Kluyveromyces lactis: one gene and its partner. Each later gene encodes a partner of the first gene's protein in a complex. Links are inferred from orthologs where the notes say so. Each region holds a gene or a part of one and is shown in the gene's direction. Other genes may lie near its edges.

What was found.
Region 2: YML6 (region 1) and RTC6 share a complex: the UniProt entries of both Saccharomyces cerevisiae proteins name them as parts of the mitochondrial large ribosomal subunit. The link is inferred for Kluyveromyces lactis from reciprocal best matches to the Saccharomyces cerevisiae genes YML6 and RTC6.

The regions. Positions count from the first base shown.
Region 1 is NC_006038.1:118,533-125,043, forward strand, and holds YML6 (mitochondrial 54S ribosomal protein uL4m), read left to right. Parts: upstream 1-3,331; coding exon 3,332-3,370; intron 3,371-3,538; coding exon 3,539-4,288; downstream 4,289-6,511. Other genes in the region: chromatin-binding transcription regulator ADA2, read left to right, coding at 1-1,301; snoRNA-binding rRNA-processing protein UTP6, read right to left, coding at 1,395-2,759; RPS18A (40S ribosomal protein uS13), read left to right, coding at 5,091-5,137, 5,668-6,061; YHP1 (Yhp1p), read right to left, coding at 6,495-6,511. UniProt on the Saccharomyces cerevisiae protein: Component of the mitochondrial ribosome (mitoribosome), a dedicated translation machinery responsible for the synthesis of mitochondrial genome-encoded proteins, including at least some of the essential transmembrane subunits of the mitochondrial respiratory chain.
Region 2 is NC_006041.1:1,683,124-1,686,661, reverse strand, and holds RTC6 (mitochondrial 54S ribosomal protein bL36m), read left to right. Parts: upstream 1-2,494; coding exon 2,495-2,737; downstream 2,738-3,538. Other genes in the region: kinetochore-microtubule binding complex subunit SPC105, read right to left, coding at 1-1,911; tRNA (34-2'-O)-methyltransferase regulator RTT10, read right to left, coding at 2,915-3,538. UniProt on the Saccharomyces cerevisiae protein: Component of the mitochondrial ribosome (mitoribosome), a dedicated translation machinery responsible for the synthesis of mitochondrial genome-encoded proteins, including at least some of the essential transmembrane subunits of the mitochondrial respiratory chain.

The DNA.
Region 1 (6,511 bases):
ACAAGTTCCATTGTGATATTTGTTCTGCAGATTGTACAAACAGAGTCAGAATAACATGTGCGGTGTGTCCAGAGTATGATTTATGTGTGCCATGCTTCGCAAAAGGGTTATACAACGGTAAGCACCGGCCAAGCCATGACTATAAAGTGATTGAAACCAACTCATACCCGATTCTCTGTGAGGATTGGGGCGCTGATGAAGAGTTACTGTTGATAAAAGGAGCCCAGACACTGGGATTAGGTAACTGGCAAGATATTGCGGATCATATCGGATCTAGAGATAAGGAAGAAGTTTATGATCATTATTTGAAGTTTTACTTGAACAGTGAACACTATCCTATTCCAGATATCACAAAAGACATTAATGAACCGCAAGAACAATTTTTGGAGAAAAGAAAGAAACGCATGGAAAGATTTAGGGAAAGGCCTTTGGAACCTCCTAGGAAACCGATGGCATCACAACCGTCATGCCATGAAGTGCAAGGGTTTATGCCAGGTAGATTGGAATTCGAAACGGAGTTCGAGAATGAGGCCGAAGGTCCGGTCAAAGATATGGTCTTCGACGCCGATGATCAACCGTTAGATATTGAAGTGAAGTTGGCTATTCTTGACATCTACAACTCGAGATTGACGACTAGAGCAGAAAAGAAGCGTTTGTTGTTTGACAATTGTCTGATGGAATACAGGAGACTACAAAGTCTCGATAAGAAGCGTTCAAAAGAAACCAAAGATTTGTACAACAAAATTAAGGCTTTCGCAAGAATCATGTCCCCGCTGGATTTTGAAGAATTCAGCAAAGACATATTGGAAGAACTTCGGTGTCGAACAAGAATTCATCAATTGCAAGAATGGAGGAGCAACGGTATCACTACTTTGGAAGCTGGTCTTAAATATGAACGTGATAAACAAGCAAGAATTATGACATTGGAAAGATTTGGAAGTCAAGTGTACTCTTCTTCTTCATCTAGTAACACTGCCCGTTATAGAGCTACTTCGGCCCATAGATCGCAAGCTGATTATGCTCAAAATTATAACGAAGGAAGTGGACGTAAGAAACTAATGACTATCAGTGACATTCAGCATGGGGCAGATTTCCAATTATTATCAGCTGAGGAACAGCAGTTATGCATAACGTTGAAAATTTTGCCAAAGCCTTACATTGCCATCAAAGAGGTACTATTCAGAGAATTAATACGGACTGCAGGTCAACTCTCGAAGAAACAGTGTCGTGATTTATTGAATATCGAGGCAACGAAGGCCAACAGAATCTATGATTTCTTCGTTTCTCAGAATTGGGTTTAATTAGAGTTATAAAACTGTGGAAATATTGGCTCCACTGCTTACCTTACTACTTAATGTCAAATATGTACATAAAAATGTGTATACAGTGTCTCATTACAGTTTCTTGATAATAGCATTCAAAATAGCATACTTCGAATCAGATTTATCCATATTGGATAATAGATGTTGGGTCAAATAACCAGAATATAATGTAGTAAGTTGTTTGGCATTCGTCTCATCTAATTTGCTGATGTATGCAGAATACTTTTTGAAGGACAATTGGAGACTGTCGATGTTTAATTCGCCGGCAGGCATGAATTTGATATTTAATGTAACATCATGCAATAATAATTCCACATATTTTTCTGGCATACTTTTCTCAAGGGAAATATTATAATGTTCGTCCTTTAGCCATTGCAATACGTGATTTATCAGATATTCTCTTTTTAAATCTTGAAATTCCGAAAATAAGTTGATATACTCGAGGCATCTATCAAACAGGTAGGACATAACGTTTCTGCTGAGCTCTTCATCGACTTGCGAATTGGTAACGGCGTAGTATCCTTGATGTTTCTTGACAAAAGATGTGCCCAGATTCTTCATTGCGATATCGAATATAACCAATGCGACATCACCACGTAGTGCTGGATTAGTTTCTTCTGATCCAAGCATATTCATATCGGCTTCTGGTAACTCGTTTAGTTTATCTTTCATCTTGTCACCAGTACTTGGAAGTTGAATTCCGTCTTTGTCAAAGTATGCTTCGTCATCTGCAGTTTCTTCCAGACCTGTTACATTACTGGAGTTTCTTCCTTCCTCTTGCTGTTGTAGCATATCTAGCTCTTGTTCCCTTTCGTTGATTAAATTCATCACTTTTCTTCTATTTAACAATTTTGTCACGAAATTCAGTTCGAATTTAACGTACTCGTACCAGAGTTTAGAAGCATCTGGATTAAATCTAAGACCAGTTTGAAAAACATTTCTACAGCTCTTGAAGTTTGCGTGCAATTCGTATTCATATTTAGCACATGATATCCAAACGTCAACGTTTGTTGGATGTAATTTGAGCAATTGATTGTAGACGTTTTGAATCTTTTTATAAGAGGCATTTGTACCCTTTGATTTTAAATGATTCAAATATAAAGACCAAAATTTCAATTTTTTTGGGAACTTATTGCAGCCTCTTTGGAAAATATAGAGAATCCTCTGCTGTATGGTAAAATCCGAAATACTATTTGATTTGTTCGATTGCAAGATACGTTTAACACGTTTCATTCTTAATGCATCGACATTCTTCTCGTATTCAATATATCTGATGTAATCACTTATACTTGAACCTCTCGAACTCAATCTGTGTTCAAAATCAGTCCTTTTCTTCATAATTTTGTTTACTTCATTCTTAGTGAATAACTTCTTCTGCACTAAGTCATCAACTTCTGGAATACATTGTTCCAAGTAATATCTTGTTCTGGATGACATCGCCTTACTCTGGGTAGTTTTATGTTAAGTATTGATTAAAGTGTAATCACGGAGACTCGTATCGCTCGCTTACTGACAAAGGAAACGACTACTGGCTTTGTTCATGCTAAATAATACTGAGATGAGATGAGATGAGCCTTGAAGCTTTTGAATTTTTTTGGTTATATTGATTTCTTTTTCATATAATCAGTCAGAATAAAGTCCTCCATTTAAATAACCATCGATGAATAACAAAAGGACAAGTACAATTGTTGTTCTGCTAGCGTAAATCGGATTTTTTTTTACTGCAAATTGAATCCGCTTACATATGACATTCGGGACTACCATAAACTGCGACCCTTAATGTCGTTGTATGCTTTCATACAAGATGACAGTTTTGTTGATCGTTAATTCGGGCAATTTAACATTACCCGGATATTTTACATGGTAGACAAATTTTCGATAATCAAAAATCTGAATATGAAATAGGTTGAATACTAAAGATGATTGATTTGTTTGCGGTGATCAGACATAGGAGTGTCCAATTGATCCCCTTTGTATCGAGACATTAAGTCAGTGTATCAGAATCAGCCATGTTTTCCAAGAGACAAGGTTTGAATTTGTGCAAAAACGTATGTCAAACCCATTTTCATCACTGTTGCAATGGTAAAGCGCGGGCTTTCCTCAAACTGCATGATGATATCCTTCCGCATTAAGCAGTTATATCACCTACTTTTAGAAGATCGATTTACTAACTATTGCTCGTAATTTTTTGTTACTCTTTTCCCTATTCTCTACAGGTCCGTTACGTTTCCAACAAACCCCTTCCTAATGCTAGTCTACCGCCAAAATATACCTTAGCAACGGTTCGTTCATTCCCATCATTAGAACCATTGACATTTGCACCAGTGCCAACCTCAGTATTTGATGCTCCATTGAGAAGAGACTTACTATGGCGTGCTGTTGTTTACGAAAATGACAGTAAACGTGTTGGGTCTTCTAACCCCCCAGGCAGAAGTGATGTTGGTTATTCGAGAAGAAAGATTTTACCACAAAAGGGATCTGGTATGGCCAGAGCTGGTGACGCTAATTCACCAATAAGGCATAACGGTGGTAGAGCTCTAGCAAGAACTGCACCAAATGATTATACCACAGCGCTCCCAAAGAAAGTGTACTCTTTAGCATTCAATAACGCACTAAGTCATCAATACAGAAACGGTAACGTCTTCGTCATCGGAAGTGGTGACGGAATCTCCGAAACAAGCCAGGCTGATCTAAATGAATTGGAAATTCTTCCCATCGGGGAGGGCTCAGAAGATGGCGATATCGTGTTCGAAAAATTCCTAAAGCACTATGAGCTACAGAACAAGAAGCTATTATTCGTTATTAACGAACCAAGGCCAGGATTATTTTCATTTACAGAAAGATTCCAAGATAAAGTTAACATCGTCCAAAAAGAATTTGTTGATGTCAACGATCTACTTAAGGCTCACAGAATCTTTATTGAATTGGAAGCTTTAGAATACCTGGCTGTTACTCACGTTGTTTGATTATGGAACGAGATACTGATCATCAGACGGGAGTTAAAATAAAAGCTTCGAATAATAAACTCCACATTGCACCAACTCATCCACAACTTGTATATATATGTATGTGTGTATATTAACGTCACAAATAAAATGAAAATAGCTACACGGCTGTTTATCTAAGTTAGCGACATCCGTATTTGTAAAGACAATTGACCAATGCTGTGGCCATCATCAAGCTGTAAAATCCAAATCGAGGACAAACAGACGCAACCATTTCGGACTGTTGTCGGAAGCCTTATACACCCGTGCATTTTATTATTTTCAATGCGCCTATAACCGAATAATAGTTTAATTTTTCCTTTCCTTCAAGTTTCCTGATTAGGAAACCCATCCAACGTTTTTCAGACTTTGGGCTGAGTTTTCTCCGTGCCTAAGGAAAGACAGGGCATTAGGTGTGCCGACGCCTCGGTTCTTTCCAGTTTCTCCTCCCCGACAGAATTTCCATCCCCCTGATTCTGCTTCTCCTACCGACACCTTCTGCTCCTAGGCTGGGAACATGCACCACTAGACCGATCTTGCTCAGTGACAGAGTATGCTGGGCCTCTGTCCAGTTCTGGTTTGTGCGGTTGTGAGACAATCGTTCTATAGTGGTTTTACCGAATGGCAAGTTTGTATGGAGGGAAACCTTTGAACCTTTGCAAAATCATAGTGTTCAATTAGTGAAAAGCTACTTAACAATGATATATTAGTGTTATTATATTTAAATAACGGATACTTTATTATTAGGTAGTCGTTTTCGAAACAGAACGAGTAAGAAGCAAAGATGTCTCTAGTTGTTCAAGAACAAGGTTCCTTCCAACACATTTTGCGGTATGTTTTAAGATGAGAAACGTTTTAAGAGGATTACAACGAGGAAATTGAAATGAGATATGTTCAAGGGCAATGAATACGAGTATTATCAAGACAACACTACCGTGGTTATAAAGAGTTCCGAGGAGATGAAAGGTATTAGACAGCTTTATGAAAACATGCATTGCGCGTTACATTCGGTATATCATTTAGTGATGATGTTATACTATTAAAGTGAAGAAAATGAGAAGGAATACCACCAGATAGATGGTCCCACAATTTTTCCAAAGATCAAATCGAATTGAAAAGCTTACGCCCGTTAGTAGACAATATGCAGAATGTTGAACTCAAAAATGGATCTCCTTTCTGACATTTTACGTTAGGTCATCCAAAGTTTTATGTTGATTTAGGCATCGAAAACAATCAAAGTACCAAACTGCATAATCGAAGCAAGGAGAAGCATTTTGTGTTTATGGGTTTTCCTCCGTTGTCGCCCTCAGATTGACTATCATCAAATTTTACTAACATTTTTATTCCCATTATTTTTACAGTTTGTTGAACACCAACGTTGATGGTAACATCAATGTTGTCTACGCTTTGACTACCATCAGAGGTGTCGGTCGTAGATACGCCAACTTGGTTTGTAAGAAGGCTGATGTTGATTTACACAAGAGAGCTGGTGAATTGACCCAAGAAGAATTGGAAAGAATTGTCCAAATCATGCAAAACCCAACTCACTACAAGATCCCAGCTTGGTTCTTGAACAGACAAAAGGATGTCAATGATGGTAAGGACTACCACTCTTTGGCTAACAACTTGGAATCCAAGTTGAGAGATGACTTGGAAAGATTAAAGAAGATCAGATCTCACCGTGGTATCAGACACTTCTGGGGTTTGCGTGTCAGAGGTCAACATACCAAGACCACTGGTAGAAGAAGAGCTTAAACAAGAGAATGAGTTCTCTATTTTTAAAATGGTTGGTTTCTACTTTGGAATCTTGCAACCTTTCAAGGCACAAATGTTTTAAATTAGTGATACCAACTTTAATTTAGAATTTTTTTCATTATATTATCTCTTGTATAACTATCAAAACACTATACGTTCCGTATTAATTACATTATCTCAAGACTTATTATAATATGTCTTACAGCTGCTTGCTTGTGCAAAGTGATGATTGAATCATCCTGTCCATTTTTCTAGGATATCTTGAAATACAGGTTATGGCTTTTATAGTCCGAGCTAATGTTAAGCGGAGAGTAAGAATATATAGATATATCTATATACAGGTGGATGTCTTTCCTGTACGCAGGATAGTGTTACAATTGTCTTTGTATCGGTCTGCCGAGCGACCATGCTAAGGTTTGTCAGTTTGTCATCATTATGTCGTATTGATGT
Region 2 (3,538 bases), on another chromosome or scaffold:
GCTTTGGTAAAGCTGATGGACTAGTTTAAGCTTTGCCACATCATATTCTGTGCAAACTTTGCTTTGTTTCAAGTCCTGTCGAAGTTGAGCAATCTCTTCGTTCACTTTACTCATCTCCAATTTTGCATCTTGTATTTTTTGGGTAAGTTGATCTTTTTTAGTGGTCAGCTGGTTCAAGTCTGACACCTTTAGCATGTTCTCCCTCAAGTCTCCTTTCAATTTGTTCACTTTCAGGAGAGTCGTTATGTTCTCTTTCTTGTTACTAAAAACATCGTTGTGCTGCCGAAGAACATCAAGTTCTTTCATTAACACCTGTTTGATGTCACTAACTCTTATTTTCACGTCATTTATTTCATTCATGTATTTCATGATCTGGGCATTTTCATCCACCAAGATAGCTATATTTTCTTCCAGGACTGTTTTAATTCCTTTCAAATGTTGTGATCTCCACTCAAACCAGACTTTTTCAGATTGTAATCTAGCCATTATGGTTACTAATTCTAACTTTTCGTTAATAGCATAACGGGTATCAGTATCTGCCTCAAAATACTCTTTTATCAACCTGGGGGGTTCGTTGGATGCAATCTGCTCTCGAAGACTCTTTAAGAGATTCCTTGATTGTAGAATTCTTCGGGTTAGTTCTTTTGCGGTGAAAGCTTGAATCTCTAATATTGGAATCTTACAATATAACGCTTGGTATATTATATTAGATGGGACATGTTCGATGTTATTCGTACTCTTAAGATCGATTTGAAATTCGTTTATTTGGGTATCAACGTTGAATTTTATATTAGCAGCATCAAAAAATGTCTGCAAGGAGATTGGTCCCGATTGACTTTGAGTGTCTGATAGAACATGTTTACTTGTTTTGGATAGTATGGGAGAGCCGACATTTTTTGGTTTTGGTAAAGAATTTGTTGCCAACGGAATTGGCGATAATCGTTCCATCTCTGTGAGCTCCGCATCTATATTCTCTTTTTGTTCAGGGGTCTCTTGCACTTGCACTGGTACCTGCAATTTGACCGGAGACTGATAACCACCGTTAGATAATTTCCTTCTTTTTGACTGCGGGAGTTGAGTTGGTTCTAGTTGAGTTGAAGAAACTATCTGTGACTCTCGCATCTCCAGAGGAGCCTGCACGTTTGTAAATTCCATTGTTTCCTCTGTAATTGCTGGTATCTTAGGTAATTTGAAAGCAGATTCTGAATCTGCATCTAGCGTAGGTTTTTCTGCATCCATCCGTATTTGGTCAGTTATTTCCATAGACTCTTCTTCGTTAAAGCGGCGTTTCTGCGGTTCTGTAAGGTCCATTGTTTCCTCCAAAACTTGGTCTTCGTTACCATTCTCTTCTTCTTCTTCCGCAGCAGTAGAGGTTTCTTGCGGTACCACATTATCGTCTGGTTTAGCGCTATGTTTTGCAAATAACTGTGTTATATCCATTGAAACCTCTTTGTCGAACACAGGTTGGTACCCATCATTTTTCGGTTCGCTTGGAGACTCCAATTTTTGGAATATTGAACCTATCGGACTAGTAAATTCCATTGTTTCTCCAGAATTGTCGTTATCATTTTTGGTATCGGCCATAGAGGCTTCAGCTACTGCCACTTCCAATTTTAAAGCGGATTTCCTTCGAGGTTCCCTTACATTTTGAATCGATTGTGGTATGAATTCGAACTTGTGCAAAGTCACATCTGGTGCAAAGGACACACGGCGATTTCCCTTCGAAATCGCAGCACTGATCCGGGATGTCGTATTGTTTCCGTCCAGTATATCTTCTTTGGTAATTCCCTCAGTAGGAAACTGTATCTGGGACATAGTCAAATTATGACTGGTGTTAGTTGTATCATCATCCTTAAATTTTTGCTTAAGGATACTTCTCGGAAGCAAAGACAATCGTTTTGGATCTGTCATATGAAGCGAGACTATCAACACAGGGTGAAATATGATAATAAATGGAAACTTAACCTAAATATTAGTCCTTAAGTTTATGATGATTCGGTATTTGTGTGTCAATATATTGATCTAAAATTCGATTGTTTACGTTTTCGAAGTTCAATGTTTTCGATTCAGAGCGCTGCTGCACATACAGTGAGAACCGAGAAAAAGGATAAAACAACTGCCTTGAAGAGTCTCTTAGAAAGGATGGGTGTACTTCATCAATTATTTATTTGTTAGTGATTCGAAACGGTCTTCAGATTTGCCCAAAGATGTTCACTAGATGAGGATGTTCAAGATCTCAGGTCATAACCATCACGTGCTATAGTCCGGGTAAATATCTTAATCTCCATTGAAACTATTTTGAAAAATTATCGAAGGCCTTTTCATGGTAGATCATCAGCTATAGAGGGCATGTTCAGTCGGTGTGATGCCTTATTGACGATTGTGGACTCCATTAGTACGTTTCAAGACCGTGGGTGATATCAAAAACTGAAAACTCTTCACAGGTATAACTCTGGAGCCCGATATAATATAAAGAGAGGGAAATACATACATAATGAGCACACTTTTCGGAAGTACGATGTTGAACTCGTTGACAAGACTGACAAGGCCAGCTGTGAAAAGTATCAATATGCTATCTATGCCAATGATGGGTCTTATGAACCCTCCTTTGACCAGAGGTTTTAAGGTAAGAACTTCCATCAAGAAGTTCTGTAACGATTGTTACATGGTTAGACGTAAGGGCAGAGTGTACGTTTACTGTAAGTCCAATAAGAAGCATAAACAACGTCAAGGTTGAATTACAATCGCCCTCCCATTCGTCCCAATCTTTCATGTATATAGATAAGTCATAATGGAGGATGTGTTCTTTTCTTGAATGTGGAAAAATGCAGCCTTCTTTCTATAAATAATTTCCATTCTATACTAATAAACTGGTTTTAAATATATAAAATTCTGAAGTTTAGATGGTTAGATATTATTCATCTCGCCAACAGGAAAGTCCTAATCCTCCTATTAATATAAGTGTTTTCTGGACGTTTGGTAACGTAACTATATCACTGGAACCGGTATCTGCTACTGTGGTATATTTGCTCTCCGTTATTTTCAGTTTGTCATTCGTAATGTCCCTAATTCTTATGACCTGGTCCACTGATGTAGCCAATAATTTTGTGTCATTATCTAACAGATTCACTGATGTTACTGTTGATGAAGCAGCATACGAATCGTGATCTAGTATTTCGGCTTTCATCGTGTAGTTGTCATTGTTCGTAAATTTAGTGATGGCTACAGCATTGTCATCACCCCCAGAATATACTTTGAATGAATCCGAAGACTTGTCAAGCTTCACGTCGAGTGATTTGATACCTGCTGTGTGTACCAGGATTTTTTCGGACCAGTTTTGTAATTGTTTTGTTTCCAATTTGAGGCCCCTGTCAAAAAGCTCATTATTCCTTATCTCGAACGGAACGGAATTAGTGATGTCCCATGTAATTAAATGACCATCTGTTGGTGCAATCAGAAGTTTCAAGCAATTCTGTAACGGAATGAAAGCAACGTTCCAGATACAACAGGTTTCATATCTTCCATCTATGATCAAGGT